Linked DNA regions of Oreochromis niloticus. The protein of the gene in region 2 purifies or fractionates together with the protein of the main gene of each other region. This does not show direct contact. Links are inferred from orthologs where the notes say so. Each region holds a gene or a part of one and is shown on either strand. Other genes may lie near its edges.

Evidence for each region.
Region 1: the proteins of ckap5 (region 2) and slain2 purify together in Homo sapiens (affinity purification with mass spectrometry; 4 studies listed by BioGRID and IntAct, counting the BioPlex papers as one, with this or other methods). This does not show direct contact. The link is inferred for Oreochromis niloticus from reciprocal best matches to the Homo sapiens genes CKAP5 and SLAIN2.

Annotation. Positions count from the first base shown.
Region 1 is NC_031986.2:37,133,396-37,145,366, forward strand, and holds the start of slain2 (SLAIN motif-containing protein 2), read left to right. Parts: upstream 1-6,851; 5' UTR 6,852-7,114; coding exon 7,115-7,599; intron 7,600-11,822; coding exon 11,823-11,965; intron 11,966-11,971. Other genes in the region: anapc4 (anaphase-promoting complex subunit 4), read left to right, coding at 1,855-1,931, 2,020-2,120, 2,211-2,262, 2,337-2,392, 2,522-2,568, 2,804-2,860, 2,941-2,997, 3,122-3,215 and 8 more.
Region 2 is NC_031972.2:38,739,681-38,752,518, forward strand, and holds the start of ckap5 (cytoskeleton-associated protein 5), read right to left. Parts: upstream 4,890-12,838; 5' UTR 4,562-4,889; intron 1-4,561. Other genes in the region: cstpp1 (centriolar satellite-associated tubulin polyglutamylase complex regulator 1), read left to right, coding at 9,992-10,034, 10,111-10,213, 11,604-11,734. UniProt on the Homo sapiens protein: Binds to the plus end of microtubules and regulates microtubule dynamics and microtubule organization. Acts as a processive microtubule polymerase. Promotes cytoplasmic microtubule nucleation and elongation. Plays a major role in organizing spindle poles.

The DNA.
Region 1 (11,971 bases), on a different chromosome or scaffold from region 2:
TATACAGTGCTAAATCACAGCAGCAGTCTGCTCGAGGTGCTTAATATTTCTCTGTATACAATACAGAGAAAACTCCCTATGAGTAAGCACTTGGCGACAGTGGTAAGGAAAAACTCCCGTTTAACAGGAACGCTACCTTCCAATTCTTCAGCTTCACCTAAAATCAACAGCTAGACGGTTGAAACTTGGGCAAAGTTGGGTGGTCCAGTAGGACAATGACCTCAAATACACATCAGAACTGGTTTTAAAATGGATAAAGCAGGATTCTTCTGAAAAGGCCTTCCACAAGCTCTGACCTGTGGAAAATCTGTGGACCTGCCAGGAACCCAACCAATTTAAAGCGAACTGAACCAATTCTGCCAAGAAGAGTTAGAAAGAGGAAAGAAAGTCATTATTCTATCCACATCAGTCTCTTTTTTTAAATTTTCTTCACCTTTTAATAGTCCTGTGTGTCGTCTTTTCTCTTTGTGCACAATTACAGTTCACATAAATCTATTTTGACCAATACCTTTGAAACTTGTCAGTACAAAGTCTTATGGAGTCTTTCCATTTTAGAAATATCCTTTTACAATGGCCAGCCACTCCCCAACGACTGGTATTATCCAGCCTTATCCTTATTGTTTGTGTTACTGGGTTACCAGATTTTCTCCTCTAGTCTTGCACAAATTTTCTTTTTGGAGTGAAAAATAAATCTCATCTTCCATAAAAATTCTCTCCACGGAGCAGAACTGTAGGTGCTGGCACTTGTTTTACACATATTTAACCAATCTGTTTCCATCATTGTAATATTTGCTTCCATCAGACCTTAATGTATCATAGAATGTGTCTTAAGGGATTGCAAGCTGATTCTTGTTTTATAAAGTTGTTAAAGATGTATGCTGTGTAATTACTCCACCCTGGAAAAAGAACAGTTCAGAGAAATCATTAAAGTCATAAATTACCATTACATTCATGCCCATGATAAGTGTGTGAGTGCAAGCATCCCAGGGAACATGTTGTTTTTCTTGAGAAGCCAGGGGTATTTGTGTATTGTATGCCATCTTGTTTATCTGTTGCACTTTAAATGTGTAAATTTTGCATGGCTCCTGCTATGAGCAGTGCCATGTTACTTCCTGGTTAAATAAAGATAAATAAACAAATAAACCTAACACACAGACCTACCTGAACTCAGCTTTACCATACATTTATCACAGCACAGACAGTTTGTGACAGGTCAGATTAAACTCTAGTGTTATTTTAGTTTTTTGCATCCAGCTATTTCTAGAAGTCTTTCTCCTGAGCTTATAACAAAGTGTCAGACAGCAGCAGAATCATGCATTCTTTTACTCATCTGACACAACTCCCATGGCTTAAATAAATAACAAATCATTCCTAACATGGAGACGGGATGTAACAGCAAATAACATTGTGTATATCACTGTCTAAGTCACACGTTAAGCACTATAATAAGCTGCCGTGCTGTAGCTCATGTCTAATAAGCAAAATAAGTGTGTATCTGTATAGGCTGTGACATCTGTAATTTTTAAAATAACCTACTACTGAAACTCTGACATCATTAGATGTTACTTTTAGTACTCTCACAACTCACAGGATAGGTGTGAGTACTGTGTGCCATCCTCTCAGTGCTGTGAAATGATCCAAATCAAGGCTTCAGGTAAATTATGTAAAAGGGGCTTTTTGTCCAGTAGGCAGAATACTGTCAGTTTAACAGATTGGTAAAGCCATCAATGTTTTGTCTCCCATGTCTGAAAACGGCTTAAGAAGCGTTAAGGTATAAGACTTCCTGTGAAGTTGAAAATTATGTTTTTTGGGTTTTGTTTTTTTTTTTTTAATTTAATTTAATTTCTATTACAGGGATTGAAGAAGCTTGGACAGTCCATTGAGTCTTCCTATTCCAGCATCCAGAAGCTAGTAATAAGCCACCTGCAGAGGTATTTTGTCTTTTACTTTTCATCATGGCTGTCCTACCCTCTGACTGGTTGTCATTTTAAATCTGTCTCTCTCTTTTGGTGGCTGCAGTGGCTCAGAGGCTCTGTTGTATCACCTCAGTGAGGTGAAAGGAATGGCCCTGTGGAAACAAAAGTTTGAGCCCCTCGGCTTGGATGCAGCAGCTATAGAAGGTGCATTTCAGGACATGCGCAATGATTTAAAACAGGGGTTTTTTTCAGTAGTCACATGTGTGTATTTTATTTTATCTTATGTTATTTTAGGCGCTATCACAGCAGTTGGATCCTTTTCCCTGAAAGCAAATGAACTTCTGCAGTAAGTTCAGGACCGTAATCGAGTAATGTTAATGTTTTTTAGAATTAGTATAATATAACTTTTTTGTCATTTAGGGTGATTGACAAGAGTATGAAAAACTTTAAGGCCTTTTTCCGTTGGCTGTATGTAGGTAAGAAATAAAAAAAAGAAAAGAATTGTTGATCTTGAAACATTTAAAATAATTAATGTGCATGTAAGGTCTTATTCATAGATTTGAAATTACTGTTTATATGCTCACACACTTTTTGCTTTCCCACAGCAATGCTCAGAATGTGTGAGGAGCATGTGCCACCAGAACTCAATAAGGTGAGCTTTATTTTTTTATTTAATAAATGTTTACTAGAAGCAGTTAACAAACCAACAACTAGAAACTGACAAACCATTCCTCCTGTTCTACGTATGGTAATCTACATCCCAGCAAATGAAATGCACAAATTCATATATGGAAAATAATGTTAGAAATAATGTTATTATGATTTAAGTGTTCATGGGATTATTTTAACATCCATTATTTATCATAACATGTTGTTTAACTCCTTAGATGACTCAGAAGGACATTGCCTTTGTTGCTGACTTCTTGTCTGAGCATTTTAGTGAGGTGAGATCAGCATAATAGCAAAAGCATGCTAATAAGTTTAAAGACTTTTTTAAACTTTTTAACTGAATGTGGTTTAACAGAATGAGGAACTCTTCGGTCGTAAAGGGAAGTACTTCAACGTAGAACGAGTTGGACAGGTAAATGGTTTTGTAATGTTTACCTTTAGCTGGTCTTTTTTTTGTTTGTTTGTTTATTTGTTTGTTTTTAATGGAACTCCTGCATGACCGCATAGTGGTTTGTCTTTCCTAATAACATTTACAGTACCTGAAGGACGAAGATGAGGACCTTGTGTCTCCACCCAACACAAAGGGGAACCAGTGGTTGAAGTTTTTACAGGACAGCACACACCTGAAAGGTGAATTATCACCTTTGTGCGTTTTGGAGTTGGGTTAAATTTTTTGTTTGGCGTGAAACTACTTTAATGTTGAATGTACTCAAAATACCTGTTAGTCACCTGATTAAATGTTTTGTTGGTTTATTTAGGGAGCCCTTTGCTGTTTCCTTCATATCCCCAAAAGTCTTTGCACTTTGTCAAGAGGATGATGGAGAATGTGATTGAGAATTGTCTACAGAAACCTGCAGTAAGTTTTGTGCACTGTAGATTTCTGCAGTCATTCAAAATATAACGCTGGCTGGCAATGTTGTGTCCTCTCTCCTCTTAACTTTTTTGTTTCTTTGTGTGTAGGAAGTAATTGGAAAGTCGGTAAAACAAGCCATCTTTTTGCCCTTGTACAACGTGCCAGAGAGGTATAATCCTATGTGTAAAATCTGTTGTATTTTAAATATGAGCCATACACTGAGACTAAATTTGTATTTACTTGTTTTTTAGCTCTGAAAACACTCCTCGGCTTTTTGAACTTCCATCTTTGTATGTAAAACACAAACATCCTACAGTTCTTTGTTGTTTTTTTTATCTGTAAAATCAAGATGGGGTTTTAATTAATGTTATTCATTTGTCAACCTATAGGTGGAATGACAAAAAGGCCAAAATGCATTATGTTGTGTTTTGCATGCCAGAGATTTCACCCCACAAACTCTACCTGTTACGCAGAGGAACTGACCCAAACAGGTACATTTCTGTAATTCAGTAAGTACTTTTTAGATATTTGATTTTCATTTCTAACCTCATTTTTTATATTTGTGCAGACCTATCCCAAACAGTGTCATGTCGATTAATCTCACCCATCACCTTGACAGTGGGGATAATGGAAATGCTGCAGACCAGTGAGTCACGCTTATGTTGTTCCTTTACTGTATTAACAGATATAAGCGCAAAGAAATGTCTCACCTGAAGAGAGGTGTTTGTGCAAGGCCAAAAGATTTTAAGGTGTGTTTTGGTTTTTTTTGTCAGGTCTCATTATGTTTACAGCTACCTGGATGCTCGTTTTTATGACGATGAAATGCTAACTGTGGTCTTACAAGGATCTGAAGAATTCAACGCCAGGCGTGTCCTTGCTCAAATTCCAATTTCTTCCAGCTTAAGCTGTGAGACAGAATTCAACTGGGAGCCAAACCTGAGGTTTGTGTTCATGCAATATTTTGATTGATCTTCATTAAATAATTATAAATCTTTTTCTGACATCTAAAAAAAAAACAAATACAGATACACAGGTACATGACACATACATCATCAACGCAAACACACTAAGAACACCAGCAGGTCCCATCCAGGTGCAGTCTGGACTCTCTCTCGCTTCCCAAATTAGAACTTAAATGGCCCACCTCAAATATAAAGCACCCCACTTTTATTTGAAGTAAGGAAAAAGTGGATGTACTAATAATTTTGTTACAGTTTACTCTACAAAAGTAGTGCCAACATTCCTTTCTGAACATTGCCTCGACATCCTTCCATTGTTTTATTTTTATTAAATAATTTTTTAAATTGTATAATAAATTACATAAATTCATTCACCAAAACTGAAGAACAAACTTCTTGGTCTATATCACATTACAAGCCACGATATTATTAAGATAACCCATGAAAATGCTCTAAAAAGTACCAACAGTACACACACAGTGAAGTGGTCCAGTTTAATGACCAACAAAGCAGCTGAGGCATGCGAGACACTGATCGGGTCCTGCTGTTTTTTGTCAGGACACTTGTCAAAGTTGCCATACCTGCAATGCCATGATTCTATGAATGACTCATAAACAAAAATTCACCCCACGCCTCGAAAATAGTCCAGTGCTCATAGTTTGATAATCTTGATAATCACATTGCTCTCAAACCATAACTAGTTTTTGCCAATGACATAGCATTGCTGGTAGTCACAACCATGTTTGTTGTGTTTATCTAATTAAACTACTAATTTTATGGTGCTGAACCTCAAATGTGTGTATATATATATATATATCTTATATCACTTATAAACTACTCACATGTTTACAGATTATTAAGTACTATTTTATTAAATCTGTTGGAGCTACTTAAATGTAAATGTAGTTGGTTTATGACATGTTGTAAAACTAAAACTAACTTTAAAGTGCGCATCTAACCTTTGCATATATTTACAGGCTGGACCAACAGAGCAGTTCCATCCCGTCCCAAGGCCTGGTGTTGGGTAATCAGTGGCGTGAGCTGGAAAACATGAAAGCCCAGTTTGTAGCTGTTAATGGAATCCGCAAAGTGGCCTGTGTGGTAAGACTTTACATTATATTTAGTTTATGTGGATTTTGTTTCACGATATCATGAATCATCTGCACTGCTGTGCTTTTCAGTGATCAGTCTAATGTCGTTTAAGCCATTTTCAGTCTTCTCATGTTTCTCCGGCAGTGGGGGAATTCCAGTGAATGAATATTGTGGACTGTGGCCAAACATTTACTTTTTCTTTCCCGGCAGCTAAGTACCAATCTGAGGCACATACGTGTTTTTGAGATGGATGTGGAAGATGAGGATGAGGAGGGAGCTGACTCACAAAATGCCAGTGCTGATCAGGAAGGGCTGGAAGCTACCATGAGCAGCCAGGGACAAGGAGAGGAGGAGAATTTGGAGGCTGAAGGTGGGGCTGGAGAGCAGGAAGAGGGAGAAGGTGTTTTTCAAAAATCTGAGGAGCACCTGGAATCAGAGGAGGCCCTGGATCTCCCCTGAGGCTGAGAAGCTATCTCCAATAAATTAATCTACAGCTTTCGTTTTTTTTGTTACTTACGTTTTGCTGTTATTGTTGTAGTTTTTCACAGCATTTGTAAAAAATAAATAAATAAATGAAGATGTAAAAATAAAGCTACATTCTCATGTTTGTTTTATCTTCACTAGGATTTTTTTAATGGGGTCCCACCGGAAGGGACTGTGGCACAGAAAGCATTATTTAAAAATATTTGGATCCTTTTTTTAAATAAAGTTCTCAATTATACCTTAATAATAATACTATAAAGGTTTTGTCATCAGATTATCAGAAGATGAAGCCTAGTATTTCATTTTACACTGCTATGCAAAAGTCTTTAATAATCCCTTGCAAGACCTTGTAATTTTTAGATTTTTAGTCATTTACAAATTCAGCAAAAGTTCTGAAGGCCTTTGGCTGCTTTTTCACTCAAAGAAAATGTCCAAACATTTAATCTGTTCCCATTTATTTAGCTGATACTGTGAAAAAGGCCAAAAATGACAGTTTGACAAGCATAAAATGTAAATTTATCTTGGCATAGTGTGCAGTGTGTCCTTCAAAAATCTGAGGATACTCCATAATTGGAGGGTAACAGAAGCAGCAGGCCTAAAAAGCGATCTACATCTGATCAGCAAGTTAATTTTTTCAGAATTATTAGATTTTTGAACTCCGTATCCCAGTAGTTATAAATGTATAAGACTGTACCCAGGCGGTTAGTTGTAAATATGTAGTAAATCACAAATAAACATCCAAAATCCTGCGTTTAGGAGTTCATTCATATGTTACAATGTGGTTTCTGTAGCCAAATTTTCGATCCATATCTATAACGGTGTAGTTATATGTGCACGCGCAAATAGGTGTTGGTTACGTGGTCGCTCCCGATATACAACGTGGTGACGTGTGTTCTCCGCCGCCTGTTGGTCTTTCACAGTTGGTGACGAGTATTATGAAAATGGCCTCAACCCGACCCGTGAGCACGAATAACCGGAGAAGATGACGACGCTGAGCTTTTCAAGTCGGTTGAACACCAAAGTGTCTTCTTTGAACACCCATATAGCAGTGAAGTAAACAAAAACAAAGGGACTCTCGGCGAAGAAACGCCTAAAAATACCCCCGACCACCGCATATTTTCGTAGGGCTGAGAGGAGCCACTATGGAGGATATCAACTCTAATATCAACGCGGACTTGGAGGTGCGGAAGCTCCAGGACTTGGTGAAGAAACTCGAACAACAAAACGAGCAGCTCCGGAGCAGGTCTACGATGTTGTCTTCGTCCGGACCGATGTCAGGGAACCACAGACCCCTGAGCGCCGGATACGACTCGTCGTCCCTGTCAGCAGGGATGGCAGCCGGTCTGGCCGGCTTCCCTGGGGTGGGGTTCGCTGGAACGGGCGGCTACGGTGGGCTGTTGGAGAACAACCGCTGTTTAAACCCCAGACTTTCTTATGACGGCATCAGTTTCAGGAGGGCGTATGAGGGTGAGGGGGCATCTGCTGCCACCTCTTTATCGAGTATGAACTCACTTTATTCAGACACTAGCAGGGGCTTCACGGATGAAGGGGAAACCTCAATCCTAGATGAAGTGGAAATCTTAGATCTGGAAGACATGGACTGTCTAAACGAAGACGAGGACAGCTGGTGAGTCAAAGCTTGTCTTGGGAGGTAACTTGCCTGCTCGGCCGTGTTTTTGTCTTCGGGGCTGGGTGACAGCTTTAAATGCCTGGTCACAGCTGCTATGCACATTAGCTGCCACCACAAACGCCTGGCATGAACAATCATTTCAGTAGCTTGTCTGAAATCTGAAGTCATCCCGACTGAAGGAGCCTTATTGTGGATTACTGACTGCAGGATGTTGTTTGGCAAGTCATATGGGCGATCCCAAGGCACTTCTGTGACTGTCTGAATATAAAAGACAGGCTTTGTCTTACAGTCGTTGTCAGACCGCTCTCCATTCTTTCCGTGCTTAGAGTTTGTTCATTAGTTTCAGAGATAGATCAGCAGGCCTGTGGCAATAGGCTCTCAGCTGACTGGGGTTTGAAATCATCAGTTCCTTGGTGTTGTGATGTGACAGATTGCTTGGCTTGTCGTGTCAGTGTTGTACGGTAAAAAAATCAAAGTTGTTTTCCTGCCCAGCAGCCATGTGGGAGAGGTAGCCATGGTTATATTCCTCTTCTGAAATCCCTTTAGCACAGCAGTTGGCACACAGCTACAAGTGCTCTGCAGCACCAAGTGAGAGATGTGAAATGGGACAGTTATCTCATCATCATGGAGAAATAAACGTTATGCCAGGGTCCTAGAGATGATTACAAGAATTGCATTAACAGGGGTTATAAACGGAAACTGTTAATCTTATACACAAGAGAGTGTCTTGTGTATAAAATTAGCATTAGGCAAGGGTTGTAGCAGTTCCCTCAAACCAAGGTGTTGTGCATGTCTTGATGTTTTGTCATTAAAGGGACAAACAAAAAAGGGAAAATGTTTTTACCACAGGCCAGATCATTAGATTGTGATTGCATCATGAACAAAAAGCAAGCTTCATTAGTCTGATGTATTTCCTGTAACCTCTAAGATCTTTACATGTACTTTTTGTAATTTCCCCCCAAAATAGAGATATCAGGGGTTAGTATTTTAAAAGTGAGTGTATTTATACAATTTTAGTTGAAATTTGCTTTTTAAATTTTTATATTTCTCTTTAGATGCACCTATTGCTAATCCACCAGTTGTAATTAGGTCTTTCTAATAGTATTCATTTTAAAGCCAGACTTGGAATGCATAAAACTGATATTCATACAAGCTAAAAAAAAGCAACAAAACCAACTATTCTATTTTAGGCCATTACAGCCAAGTTTGACAAGGAATCCATGTTTCTTTGAAAGTAGTTGCCCTTGAAGAGATACCAAATCATACAAGAGGTTGTATTACACTGCAAAAATGTAATTAACGTGAAACTTTTTGGATTGTAACATTACAGGCTAAAAATCTTTAAAAAAATATGACTTTCACTGTACTCACCAGACAGTGACAGCAACACTTTAACATTTACAGTAGAGGAAGATAGAACTAATACAATATTGTTGTTCTGCTTGTTAACTCCTATGTATTTCAATATAATTTCCCGCTAGATTGTGCCCATGCAATTTAACCAAGCACTGCACATTTCTGCCCTTAAATGGCTTTAGAAAAGAAGTGCAGCCCGTCAAACTCCAGACTAAATTGGATTTGACTGTTTTTGTACTTCCAAGACCATCATTGTTGACTGGATGAGAATATAATGATGGCCCTTTTCTTCAGGAAATGGTTATCTATCTTATTAGGACGGGCTTATATGCATTGCTTCTGCTATGGTAATGATATTGTAGTAGGCAACACGAGGGCGTAACTCTTAATGCGTCTTAATAGCAGTTTTTAAAAGCTGCTACAATCAGGGCATATCATCTGTTTTGAAGTTGAACATGCGCCAAGTGCTCTTACATTTTTAGAACACTCCTAACACAGACACTGTTTCTTCAAGGGAGGATAAACGTGAATCCTGTTAATCAGTTTGCATTTTTTGTAATTATTATTTGAGCTAACTCAGCTTTTACTGTCTTGCTTGCAGCTGCATGCCCATGCCAGCTACTGAGCCCTCGGCATCAGACTACTTGCAGACATTGCTTGCTCATGCCCAGCCAAGCTAGTCTCATTATGCCCTGGCTGTTTGTCCATCCTCTGGATTAGATTGATATCTGGGATTAGCCTATAGTGCCTAGCTTTTGCCAGCTCCTGTCACAGACTCCTGTAATCCCATGAATTAGCATCAGAGTGGATTTAAAAAGGCTGCCTGCTCCTGCAGCACTCGGCCTATCAATAGATGCCCGTTGCGCTCCTGTTTCTGCATGCGCATGACACATATCATTGTTTCAGATGTAGTTTTACATTGCACTGTACCACATGTGAATGGCTGTCATTGTGTTGATAAACAATGACAATGTGCAGTGCCGATTTAAGGCCGGTATTTCTCTGCTCTTGCTTTGCCTGTAATGTTTCTGCTTTCATCTTGAAAGGCTTCCTCAATGGCTGCAACAGTGCTGACAGCTGCTGACTCAGATTTCTCCTCTGAGTGGAAACTCAACTCTTCTCTTCTCTTCTCTTCTCTTCTCTTCTCTTCTCTTCTCTTCTCTTCTCTTCTCTTCTCTTCATAAACATTTGTATTGCTTTTATAAATGGGGAACACAATTAAATTCAATTTTGATGAGTGAAAACATGTTTAGACTGTTAGAAGTTGAAACCATATAAATTTTGCAGCCACTGAAAGTGCCACAGTCACAATTCATTTGCTCCAATGCACTTTTTGACCTCATCTTAATATGGAAATGAGGCGAGGCTGATAGCTTATCAGCTATCTCAGGTAAAGCTGTATGTACTTCAGTGTTATTTCTTTTCCAATGATCTTGTTAGGTTAGCTTATTTAGGCATGTTCTATACTTTTGCAATCAAAAGTAACATAAATTTTGTCATTTTTCAGTTCAGCAACTTAATGAAGCCTTAGTTCTCTGTCTATGACTGTATTTCTTGCTGTTATGGATTCAAACATCAAAATGACATCACAAATGTTATTTGTAAGCAGAAATTATGTCGTGGTAAACAAATGTCTTTCTTTACATTCAGTAAAGCTGTAGTTAACTCAGTGTGTCACATGTGTGTAGAAATGGTGGGTGTAGCCACCATGACATCATCCAGTGGTTCTGGACTCTGCATTTTGAAGATTCATTGTTAGTGTTTTGGCTGCTCCTATTTTGGTTTTTGCAGCCAGAAGTTACCATATGTGGACATAGGATGCAGCGCTAAGTTATGAGCTAATGCCAGATAGATTTGTTAGCAAGCTGCAAAAACTTGTATGGGTGCAGTGAATGGAAACAGATACCTGGTAACTGGTGCCAGGTAATGGTCTAAAAAAAATACCAGAATTTTATTCATCAAAACTGGAGCCTAAACTTCTAAGCACCTAGCAGTCACTGACCAGCTCCAGTGGCCTGTCAACACCTCTCACCCAAAGCAGTCACACACCCCAAAAAAACCCCAAACATTTTTGTACCAGGCTATAAATATGGTTTTTAATGCTGCTGAACATTTTAACACTAGAACGTGTGGGAATTGACCAATTAAAGAGCTACTTTTTTAGGCACTTTAACTTAATCTTCTAGCTCTGGAGGTTGCTCGGGTAAAATTATCTGCCTGCAGCATCAACTTTAGAAAACAAAAAAAAATTCCCACATTTTGTTTTTCGCTGGCTTGTCAGTTTGCATATGAGGTGTCATTGTGTCTCTCTGTTCAGTTTGGTGTGTGCACTTGGTTCTGCAGAGCAACTAGGTGTGTGAGTGTGAAGTGATTTTCAGGCTGTATTTTCCCTGCAAGCCTTGAGTTTAACTTGAAGCCATATTAAAAGTGTTTGACTATTTAAATGAGTACATATGATTAAGTATTGATATTTATGGTCTTTTCAGATTTTTTTTTTTCTTTAAGACTGTTCATTCTTAAAATTTCTTAAAACTCAACACATGCAACATAAATAAAAGGGTATTTACTATATTTTTAGGGGCTCAAGATTTTAAATATTTATGTCTGAAATAAATTAGCATTAAGACAAATGCCGCACAAGATTTTTTTCTTTTATTTTCACTAAGAAAGCATAAATTCCTTCCTGCCTCTCCACATCATCCACTAAAAGGCAGCACTTTGTAATAAAACCAGGTCCAAATTAGCAGCTTGTTATCCTTTCAATAACATTTCATTTTCAAGCTGTTGAGTCACATCATATATGAGGTGTGATCTGTCGGTCATTATTAGAGGAGAAAAATAACTTGCTGTTGATATTTTTTTAGGTTATATGAGGCAAAGCTGAACAGTCCCCTGCAAAAAGCCTTGAGTCCTATCGTGTGGTGCCGCCAAGCTCTGGACAATCCGAGTCCCGAGATGGAATCAGCCAAGCGCTCCCTCATCCACAGACTGGACCTCACCATGTCAGGTAAAC
Region 2 (12,838 bases):
ATCTTTAATAACTACAGCATGCTCTAATTACTGTAATAAAATAATAGTCAGCTGTATGAAATGCTTCACTGAGGTCTAGCAGGACAAGCACAGAGATGAGCCCACTGTCAGATGCAACAAGAAAATAATTTGGAACCTTCACTAATATGGTTTCTGTAGTGTGATGAGCTCTGAAAACTGACTGAAACTCTTCAAATAAACCATTCCTCTGCAAGTGATCAGTTAGCCATTTTGCAACTACACTTTCAAGAATTTTTTAGATAAAAAGGAAGGTTGGAAATGAGCTTTCTCTGAAAGGTAGATGGGCTCTCTCTAGATTTTAATGTTGATAATGCATGATGCATGCACAGTTAAGCTGCATGATCCATTATTCAAGAATACAATAAACGGTTCAAAATGCTTTTATTAGTTATTGACATTTTTCATTAAATGATTCTCAAAGTTAACTTACAACGTCCCTGCTGTTAAGAAATTCATGAAGTCATTACTAGTTAAGGTTAAGAGAATGATGACTCAACAGAGCTCTGACTTTTTGTTAACTTGGCTTAGCTACCATGGCATGATTCATTGGTTTCTTAAGTCCTGAGCCCTGGACTACCAAGCAGGATTTTGGCTTATCCAGGTAAATACTAGGGTTCGAAAGAGAGAGAGGAGAAAAACCACATAGAACACACAAAAAAACAAAACAAAAACAAAGATTAAATTATTACAATATTAAAAATACTGTATTATTTTGTGTGGCGATATGTCGATACAGGGACAACAAATGTGAATATTTTATTGAATAAATGAAAATACTCTGGGGGTACTATGAACTGGAGGGCGCATCTCACCTTTGTGCCAACAGCTGCAAACTGACTTTGACTGATCACTGATCACACTTGAACAAATGCAAATTTTTGAAAAGCTGAGTTGGGAAAGCCAAGACAGCCAGACAGTCAAAGTGGACCGTATATCCTTTGTTTTAACATTGTTATATCCAGGGGCAGCACAAAAGTGATCCCATTAAACAGATTTTTAGTTTTAGTCCCCTTGCTTTCCACGCTGTTATCCAACTAATGACAGAACATATAACTAACTAATGCAAGCCTACACCAAACAAACAACCTGCTGACGTAATGTACACTGAGAGAAGATGGCGCTAAACATGTTTTTTAAACTTATTTCTTAAATCCAGCTTCACAGACAGTGTTAGATTTGTCCGTTTTTGAGAGCTGGGCTCTATGATGCAAGTTAGGCTTTATATGTGTAGCATTTCATGTCCCCTTTCAAGCTTGGGTCCTCTACCCAAGTCCTGGAATCTTGAGGGTCCTGCGTAGCATCATTGCTGTTCCTAGGACTGCGCTCCTCTGGACAGAGATCCTGGGTGTTGTTCCTGGGATCTGCTGGAGACACTTGTCCAGCTTGGGGTCATTGCGCTGATTACCACTGGGAGCACTGTTGCCTTCACATCTTCTCAAGCTCTTCTCTCAGCTCGTGGTACTTTTTTCAAGCTTCTCATGATCCTTTGTTGCATTCACTTAATATAGCGACATCAATTACAGTTGCCTTGCTCTGTTTGTCCACAAATATTATGTCCGGTTGGTTAGCCAACACCAGTTTGTCTGTATTTGGAAGTCCCACAGGATCTTAGCTCGGTCATTCTCAACAACCCTAAGGAGCATGTCCCAGTTTAACATCATGACTTCCAGGCCATACTCGACACAGTCATTTCCACAACACTGCTTTTCTCCCGAGGTCTCCAGAACTGTTGAAAGGAATGGCTTATTCAAATGCTCTGGAGGTCTCTACATACACACATAAAGTTTTGTCAAAAAGTTCACTGAACTCTGATATGCACTAATGTTTTTGCTCATCAAGTGGTTGAACTTAGCGTGGCTGTTGGCTTCATTTCTATTGGTGATGCAAAGGTATGTCACAGCACAGATGCTGTGCAAGAACTCCTTGCTGACACGATTACGCTGTACTTTGCTTAATTCAGCAGGAAACCGTTATCGTGCATGCGGCACATGCAATAGAAATTAATGGGTTTCAGAGCCTATGTGAAAAGGCCTTCGGGCTACTGGATTTGAGGTGAAACTCTCCATGCATTGTAAGGAGCTTCATTGTCTTGATGTCAGTGGCGTCCATCTCCTCCTTTGACCAGCTTATTATCCGAGTGGGGTGTCTAATCACTGGCAGAGCGTAGGTGTTGATTGCCTAGATCTTGTTCTTCCCATTCAGCTGACTCCTTAGGACTTGCTTTACTCTCTGCAGATATTTGGTGATTGTGGCTTTCCTAGCAGCCTCTTCACAATTCCTATTTGGCTGTGGGATTCAGAGGTCATTGTAGCTGCCCTCATTGTCTCTAATGCTGTAGCCATTTCCTTCTGGTAGTACAGTTGCTTCAGTTCTGACTGCTCCCTCTCTAAATTCACAGCCTTTGCCGAGACACAAAATCATATTCTGTACAGTATATAGCCAAAGTTTTAACAATGTGAGTATATGGCTAAAACCTTTGCTAGCTTTGAGGCATCCACTGGTGACACTTGGGCACTCTGACAACATTTCCTCCTCTCATTCCAACCATCACAAATTCCACCACCAAAATATCACTGTTACATTTACAATGAAACTGAATGCAAAAATCCTAATTAATCATCTTTGTATAATCTATTTAGTAACTGTTCTCTGAAAAAAAAAAAAAAATGTGTCCTGTTAAAGGGAAATTCATATAAATACATATGCAACAAGGCCAACCAAATAAAATATCTCCCGTTTCCACATTTTTCAGTCCAAACCACTTAGCACCACTTTCTTAAATCCCAACAGTAGCTTTTTAATGCTGAAAGACTGCTTTACTGTAGCACAATCTGGCTGATGAAAACCACAAACCACTTTAATGGAGTTGCTATATTCATGCTGACTTTAATATACCAGACACTGGCATACAAGAAAAAACAAGGGCAATGGCACACTTGAGCATGTGAGACACAGTTGCCTTCTAAATTCAATACAGGGATGTGTCAGGATCTGACAGTAAATAACGTTTTGTGTTATGCACATCGTACAAGTCAGGTGTAAAACATTCTAGGTTTAAACAGTGGAAGAGCTTGATATAAAGCAGGTCTCCTCTGGATGAATCAATTAATCCAATTAAGCTGCTGGATAAATCTATAAATCTGACTTTAAAGCTCCTTTACCTTTAGCACCAACTTGGATCAACTCGACTCAGATCAACTGGTTTGCAATCAAGTACCATCTAATGTGCGTGGTTGTCGTCATAGCCAGTGTCCAGTGATGTAATTGGTATGCGACAGGAACACTACAGCAAAGATGGAGTTCAAGGCAAGAACATACCTGCTGCTCAGTCTGTAGCTTTTCATCGGACTCTGGGACCATGGCATTGTTTTTTGTAGCCATTTCCCTTGTTGCCAGGTTTCAAAAACGGCAGTTTTGATTTTCGTGAATGAGACTGTCTCATGACTCGAGTGATGCCACTGACCAGACAATCAGTGGCATGCAGTCTGACGTCACATTTTAGTACCTGCTCAAATCACTTGGAACCCCAGCCGAGCAGGTACTATGACCTAATGGAAAGCCCTAAAAACCGTGGCAAGTCGATCCAAGTTGGTACTAATGGAAAAGGAGCTTAATGTTGTGAAAGGTAGAAGATCCAAAACACAGAGAATAGGTGAGGGAGAGAGATGAGTTAGAGAAAGAGTTGACAACTACCCAACAGGAAAGAATGGAAAAAGAGAAGACATCCACGAAGGAGACAGCCGTAAACAGCATGTAAAAACTGATGATGTTCTTAAATTCAGTCTCACATTTGATTACTTTTCTCAGGTATATCTGAGTAATGTAAATTTGTGACTTTAGTGAAATAGCCTTAGAAACAAATTACAACTCAACACATGTGATCAGTGAGCTCTCCTACTCAAAAAAAGCAGCACTACACCTCTAGCTCTCAGTATTACAGAACTTAAACTAAAATACAACCAAATGAGCACAGCTAACCTTTATCAACTAGATTCCCCCTTAAATACACCCAACCAGCTGCTTTTCGGTCTGGTTACAATCACTTTGGTTATCAACCGTGCCGTCAATTACCCATTTCACTGATTGTTTGCTTTCCCGGTTTGTATGGGAGTGGCCAGCATAACATAACTAGCAATCGTTAGTTACTAACGTTAGTTACTGAGGGCCATTAACTAGCTAACTTAGCAACAACAGTGACAGTTGCTACGTTACCCCGTTAACCGCTCATTCTGGTCCAACCCGCATCAACACACACGGCTATCGCTAATGACAAATAAACATTGCTAAACATGTCGTGCAAAATTGTATTATGCATAAGTTATTTTCAAAGTCAAACCTCGCCGTTAATTTACTGGTGGTTGATAATAGCTGTTAGCTGATTAGAAACAAGGCTACAAGCTAACCTTCCATCCGCGCCAACATAACCAGGCCTAACAGCGCAGTTCGCAGCTACACACATTACATCACAACTAGCTCCGATTCAAACATGATTTGTAGTTGCTTAAAATAATAATAATATTAATAATCTTTAACATAATACCTGTTTGCGGCTGTTAAAAATTACGATGCTGCTTCTCCAATTCGATGAGGATGATAGTGATCACTGTTGCGGGTCCAGTCGAGTTTTATACAAGTGCTTCTCTGCCTCGAAGGAGATTCAACACTGTTCCGGTACAAAATAAAACAGACAGTTGGGCCGTTTCCTATCTAATACAAATTTTAAATATAATTTACATAAATTGCGTATTCGTTAAAAGAAAAACTTCGAAAAAGTATTTCTGGGCTGGGATGTGAAAATATTTGTTTTTCTGTCTGTGAAATATGCGTGTGTTGAACTCTTATTTTAAACGCAAATGAACGCCCACTTCCGATTTCGATAAATACGTCCAACTTCTTTCAGCTTTTTCAAATTTCTCCAGAGCCGGACAGACAGAGGCGGGGCGGAGAGCGGGACACCACCCCAACGACGTCACTCCAGTACTGAATCACTTTTAATATTTAGTCCGACTGCATAAGCAACCTGTCATGGACAGAGAAGAAGCAGCACACAAACAAAATGCTACATTCATACAGTGACATTTTACTTACGTGACTACTTATTCATCTAATGGGCTTCCTTGTTTTTCACTAGACGGAGACAGATGTGGAGAGAGATTGGTTGCGTTTGAAATATGCTCCGCCTTCAATGTGTGAATTTCCTTAGCTGATTGGAACAACGCGTGCATTGCTTTCTCAGAAGAGATTTCATTGGCTACTCTGAAATTAAGTCTATCTCAAAACTACTATTGTCTATGTAAACACTACTTGTTTGTTTCGTGCACGCCCTTTAAACTTTAGTTATGTGCAGTTTGGGATGAGCGATGTTATACCAAAAACCTCTTGATGCATTCTCAATCATCCAGGAAAGTAAATCTCCAAAAGTTGAATCTGTTCATCTGGACGTAGCGTTTTGTGGGAGAAACGTTTCTCCCACAAAACGCTACGTCCAGATGAACAGATTCAACTTTTGGAGATATACCAAAAACCGATTTCCGATGTTTTTATGTGTCTTTTACGGTCGAATATTTTTACTCATATTAGTACATAGACAGTAGTGAACATGATTTATGATTGGGTTATATATAGAAGAAAGAAATAGCCTGTTGTTGAAGTATCTTTATGACTCTGCGTATTTGTACCCATATTGTCATCAATGCAGTGCGTTTTGGTCACTTTAAGTAAGTTTATAGAACTGTTATGTTATGTTTGTTACAATTTCTGCTGCCCTCTTGGCCCTCTCGAAAGACACATTTTTAATGTCAACGACACTTTTAATCCGGGTAAATAAAGGATATATAAAACTCTCTCCAAAGCTCAGTGCAGAATTTGATGGCCACCATAAAATGATTGTGTCGTGTCAAGGTAGGTAAAGGTAGGTATATCTGAAGGAATTAGTTTCCCCTGCATCTGGAGGACGCGCTGGGCAGGGAAACCGGATCCAGTTGACTCCGCCTCCATTCAAACTAAACAGACGTGGAAGTCGTGACGTTTTAGTTTAGTGAGAAAGTAAAAGATGGGTGTCGTTAAATTACCGTTCAGTTTGTGGGTTACAACAGAAATGATACATTTGTTGTTCTCACATATTATCGGACGGGATTATTTCAACAAACCGACGACATTATGCCTGGTAATATGTATCCTCCTGTAATTTGATTGTATAAAAAGCTAAAACCTCCAAAATTTCAGTAGTAACAAGTCATTATAAGAAATGTTTGCAAACTAAAAATCAAGAATGACGGATACTGTTTGTCCGTGATTTGGACAGGCCAGCGCATGCTCCCGACACAGGGGAACCTAACTGTGTCGGGGATCCCTACCTTGTCAAGACCCGTTCATTGTGGGTTGTTGCTGTTGTTGACAACAATAAGAGTAGAGATAATTTCTTTTCATTTGTTCATATGTTTTAATTACATGAGTACACACATTTCAATATCAGCTGGACATAGCACACCAAGGGCCATGCACAGTTTAATTTTTTAGTGATGGCTGTGATCATCAATACAATTTGTAAATGTTTGTGTTTATTTAAAAGGGATAACACTTATTAATTAACGTGAGCACTTAAATTCATCATGTAAATATGCCAGATTTACCCACAGACTCATTTTCATAAACCCTGGCAGGTTAATGGCATATTAAATAAATCAACAAACCAAACATTTTGAAGCGTGTGAACATAAGTAAAATACAGAAACACTTGTGACATAAACACATGTCCTTATACCATTATTAAAGATCAAACACTATGATCACTTACAAAAAATCCCCCAAAACATTAGAATCGGACTTTCAAGGGCATTATGTCATGACAACATGTTTGATTATCCAATAATCACTATTTCACAAATTTAGAAAAAGAAATAAAGAATGTTATATATTCTTTATTTCTGAGGGTATTGTATTCCAGGTATGAGTGGCTTGATAAGACAAAACTGACTGCCCCAAAATCAATTTGGGCTGAAAAGTGCTCTAATATTGTTGTTGGCTGTACGAAGTGACCAAATCCCAGCCTCTCTAATTTGAGTTGAATTTTAGTATCTTAAAGAATGTTTATGAAACATTTAAGTATAGAGAGTTTGTCTTTTTCCATGGATAGTACAGCCACGGATAACGGACAACACACATAGGAGACATTTGACTTATAATTCTGTGTTGTTTCTGAATCGAAATAACTAAAGATGATCTACTTTAAACATTTATATAACCAAGCACTAAGGTGTCGAATGAAATGCCAAAGAAATAAATTCTAGTAATATCCCAGCTGCACATGAGACCTATCAAACCAAAGGTGCAGGCAAATAGCACTACACTGAAAACTGTCACACCCAGTTTTAGAGAAATCGCAATCAATTTACTTGTGGGCACGCACTGCAAACAGCCTAGCTGGGAATCAGCGCTATGTATGACCTACAACCTGGGTTCTTTAAGGGAAGTGGCACAAACAAATAAACGAAAAAACAAGAAAGAGATTAGTCCGCCCTTACAAGACTCATTCTCAATCATTCATAACGGCCTTTACTGCTGGACAGACTAACCAAAACAAAATGACCAATCAATCAAAAGAACAAAAAAAGGACAGCAGAGGCAGCTTTATCTGTTGAGTTCAGGGATTTATTATGAACTTGTAAACTTGTAAGTGTTGGTATGAACTTGGTACTGCTTCCTTTTAGCATAATAAATATGGGTAAGTCAGCATGAAAGTACTGAGGAAGACTAGTTTAGTGTGATTTAAAGTGTGATGTACTGATGTCCCTGCGAAAAGTGCTGTGGTTCAGAGTGAGGGCTCAGAGATGAACTAAGTCCTCTTTTACTGCCAACAGTGGGATAAACTGAGTGAGAAGATACTGCTGGTATAGCTGTTGTGGTCCTGAGAATCTGTGGTGGATGTGACTTCATAAGCCTTTGCAGAAAGGATGGCACTGAGACACTGGACTTGCTCATACTCTGGGTTCCCTCTTTATTCTGGTACAAAGATAACAGATCACAGTCGTCATCAACAGTGTGTTATGCAGCTGCAACATTCAGGTCTGTTAAAAAGGATTAGAACTGTTATAACAGTGTATTACTGATCAGTGTACGCTGGGTAGCTAGTTAACTAGTGCCGTTAGCTAAAATGATCATTCACTCTGGTTTTTGCTGCTGCTCCTAATGAGGAATGGGGGACTGCTGTGTCTGTGTTAATTTCCTAATCAACCACAGTGCTAATGTACTAAACAAAGTTTTGAAGGAAACCAGGCTCAGTGCTTTGTAGTTGCGAATCCAACATGGTGAAAAGAGGACAGAGGCCTTCTGATTGGCTGACCTCTACTGCCGTTACCCGCCCCCCCATACCTTCCCTCCACCACCACCAACACCCCTTTTTATCCCCCTTCAGTTACAAGTGCAAGTTTTGAAATGCTTTTCTCCCAAGAAGTGTTGCAAAATTGCAGAATAATGATCTGACTTGAGAGGGAACAGTCGAGTGCTTGTATTCACTGATTTAAGAGGTTGTAATCACGGAGATGTGGTTGTAAGCAGTACAAAAATTAATTAATTAATTACTTTAAGTAAAATTTAAATGAGAAGTTTGCAGCTCACAGTGTATTTGCTGATGACACCACCTACATAGGACTGATTGGGTGATTACATAGAGTGATTCAGCCTACAGAGAGGTGGTTCAGCATCTGAAGCGATGGTGTGACAACAACAACCTACATCTGAACACAGCCAAGACTAAGGAGATGGTAATTGACTTCAGGAGAACAAGGCGATCTGAGCACTCCGCCCTCTACATTGATGCAGCTTCAAGTTCCTCAGGGTCCACATCTCGGTAAAAACCTTACCTGGTCTAAAAACATTTCCCAGCAGGTAGGAAAAGCACAACAAAGGCTGTACTTTCTCAGGAAGCTGTAGCAGATGCAATTACTCCAGACTTCTAATTTACTTCTACCGCTCCACCACCGAGAGTCTTCTGACCTATTGCTGCACACTCTGGTTCAACTGCTGTACTGTGGAGGACAAGAGAAAACTGCAGCAGGTGGTGAGGGCGGCAGAGCAGGCAATTGGCACTTCGCTAACCCCCCTCAGAGACATTTATACCAGCAGACTTCAGTGGAAAGCCAGTATCATCATCAAGGACCCCTTGCACCCTGGACACTCACTTTTTTTTCTCCTTCCTTACTGTAAACGCTACAGGTCGATCAGGTCAAAGACAAACAGACTCAATGTCAAGATCAAGGCTGTCAAACATGCCCTACCCTCACCCTGATTGAAGGTTAACTGTGCTGTTAAAATCCATGGACATTTACACTGTATTTATGAACCATATTTATTATACTATAATGCAACCAACATTCTCTATTTATATAACTGTATTTATTATAGTAGCAACCAGCATTCCTATTCCTTACTTAATGCGCAATACCACTGACCACATTGCACCTTATACTGCTCTGATCACTCACTTATTCATTTTATCTATCTATCTATCTATCTATCTATCCACACACACACACACACACACACACACACACACAGAGAGAGAGAGAGATGCCAAACTGTGTTTCATTGTTCTTGTAACAGTGACAATAAAGATCTATTCTATTTTATTCTATTTGTGAGAATATCAATCTACACATTTGTGAATATTTTTCTGTAACTGTAAATTCAAAATACAAGTTCCAATTTTTCTCAGTTTTTATTCTGAAAGCTCTGTAAAACATTTGCTTTCAAAGGGGAATCTTTGTAAGTAGTATTGTTCGAGGGGCTCTGATTAATGTAACTCACAACATCCGGCGGTTTCCATGGAAGTCCACCAGCTCACGACAGCTAGCTAACATAATTCCGAGTAATAAGAACACAGTGTACGTACAGTAAATAGCTGCACTGTTCACCGATTATAGCTGCGTATTTATTAAGTCTCGTCTCAGTGGGTTTCTCTGGGAAGAGCAGAATGAACCGTTTGAACCCCACGGTTCCCGCTGACCAGTATCTCGGTAGGTCGTGTGTTGTTAGCTGTGTCAGTTAGCGCCTAGGCTAACTTTATAATCTGTGTGTGTGTCTGTGTTCCAGCGGACAGCAATGTGCTGTTCTACCTGAATGATGCTGTGATCCAGCTGCTAGAACACAAAGAGGAATACAACCAGTTCGGAGTGATTCGCTACTTCGCTGAATAGTAGGTTCCACACAGTTGTTGAAACAGTGAGACTGCAGCTCCGGTGCTTCAGGTTAACAGGTTCTTACGTTAACTAGTTAGATTTGTTTACTTATTCGACTCACCGTGTTCTTGTTGTTACTTCGTCATGTTCAAGGAATGGTGTGTCATACGGTTTAAAAGGATTATCATCTCCAACTCGCGCAAATGCACAAGCTATACGTATCAATACTATCTTCATTTCATTGTTGTCTGAAGATCATATTGATACTTACATGCATTTGCACGAGCTGGAGATGGAGCCCCCCCCCCTCAGGTCTTTAATCCTGCATTCCACAGTGACACACAGACAGGAAAAGTCTGTGAAAATGGTGAATCTGTAGATTGAACATCTGGAACACGGAGATCGGAATAAGTAACTTATCTGATTACTTGATTAATGGATGGAATAATCGATACATTATTCAATTACCGAAATCATCGATAGCTGCAGCCCTAATGTACAGTATCATATTAATCATATTCATCATATGTGTGGCTGTTGTGTGAGCATCGCATATCTCTGAAAAATCTAATCTCTAAAAAAGAAATTGTTGTTTAAGAGCTCAGTTTCACAGTCCTTCATCATGATTTTTTTTAAAGTGTATTAAAATACATTAATAATAAAAACAGTTGAATTGAAAAGCTTGTGCATACATCTATTGGGGAATTAAACATATTAATGAAAAAAATCTACATTCGGGAAATCTTATAGATGTTAATCTGAAAACGCTGCTGAGTCTATGCCTGGTTAACTCGCCTGTTTTATTAGAGCAGACATGGTCTGAGCTACTATCCCATCTTGATTATTGTCACAGTACTAAAGAAGTTAATAAAAACTTTTTCTCACACCATATTCTCTACATTACACATGTTGGCCAAGGTGGTTACCAAGAAGAAACTCATCCGTTATGTTGAATCTGACTGAAGCTAATTTACAGGGTAATGGTGCCCGTGTTTCCATACAAAGCACAGTTTATTACTGGTGTCAGAGCAGTGAAAGCCGAGCCAACGGCAGCTTGTTTCTCACACTGGTCTCCCATCAGTTTACCGTTAAAGACTAGCAATTTATCCACAGTGCACATGCACAAAACAACCAGAAAAAAAAGCTGCTGGCCAGGAGATGGACACGCCCTCAAACCAGAGAGAGCTGCAGCAATTCTAACTCCCTGTGGTCACAAGGTGGCAGGTGGGGAGCTTTGATAAGGCAAGCGCAGCTTCCCTTCCTTGTCCCGAGAGAAAGTTATTTATATAGACATATCAGAGTCAGAGAGACTTTATTAATCACAGAGAGAAATCGAGTAAATTTGTGTGTGTGTGTGTGTGTGTGTGTGAAATATATAATATATCTGGGTTTGTAATGTCTCTGTAGTTTCAGCAGTGTAAAGAACAGCAACCACGTCCTCTTCAGAGAGTTTAACTACATCCAGGCCACTCCACATAACAGAGCATCCTTCATTCGAGTATTCTGGAAATGCTACAGACAGATTGGCAAAAGTGGAGGTGAGAACACAATAACGTCTCTGGAGTGTGAAATGAAGCTGGAGTACCCCCAGGGAGAGCCCATGTAGTCATAGTAAAGAACATGGAAACTACAGACAGAAATATCCCAGCCTGGATTCACTCTCAGGATGTTATTGCTACTGTGCTACTGCTGATGACAGACCTATCCATCTGTCACTCTCCTGAGATACTAAGACCTCACCACTTGGGACAGCAACTTTTTCTTAACCCAGAATGTGCACTCTGGGTTAAGATTGAGAACTCTGGCCTCACAGTTTGTGGTCCTAATTCTCATTCAAGACACTTAACACTTAGCTTCGAACCAAACTCTGGAATCCTCCGAGCTGGAGGGTATCTCTTAATGGTAAATGGACTGATTCTTATATAGCGCCCTTGTACTCTGTCTCAGTCAAAGTGCTTTACACAACTTGTTTCATTCATCCATTCACACAAGCACTTTTTCTCTATGCTGGTTCTAAGTGCTTTTTGTCTAACATTCACATGCGCTCCCACCAGAGAATAATATGGGACTAACATCTTGTACAACGATATTTGGCATGCAGACTAGGGCAGACTGGGATCGAACCACCAACTTGCGGTTATTAGGTGACCTGCTCTACCACCTGAGCCATAATGAAGACAACTGAGTGAGCATCACTTGTAAAAAGCGGACATGAGATTCTGAGACTACCAACCCTGACACACTACAACCTTTGGTTGGACCTGTTGACCTTAAAACTCTGTCCATAAAAATCATGGACAAAATCAGTCAAAGCAGCCTTGGGAGATTCTATCACCCACTAGAAATAAGTGTGAATACAGTTGTACAGGGACCAAATAGCCCTGTACTCTTGAAACATCCCAGCAGGACACACTGACTAGATCTAAAGTTTATTATGGGATACTTAGGAAGCTGGCAAATGTAGATATAGACATTAAATAGACACCGGAGGAGTTAAATCTGTGTGATGCTGTATGTTTCTTCTTGATGTGGTTGTAGTGACTTAAAACAACATGCTTTTTCAAAATCAGTGAATTTACAAATCCTTGCAGATCAAAGAGACAAAGTTTTTGATGTGACTGTATTTGTAATTAATAAAAAAA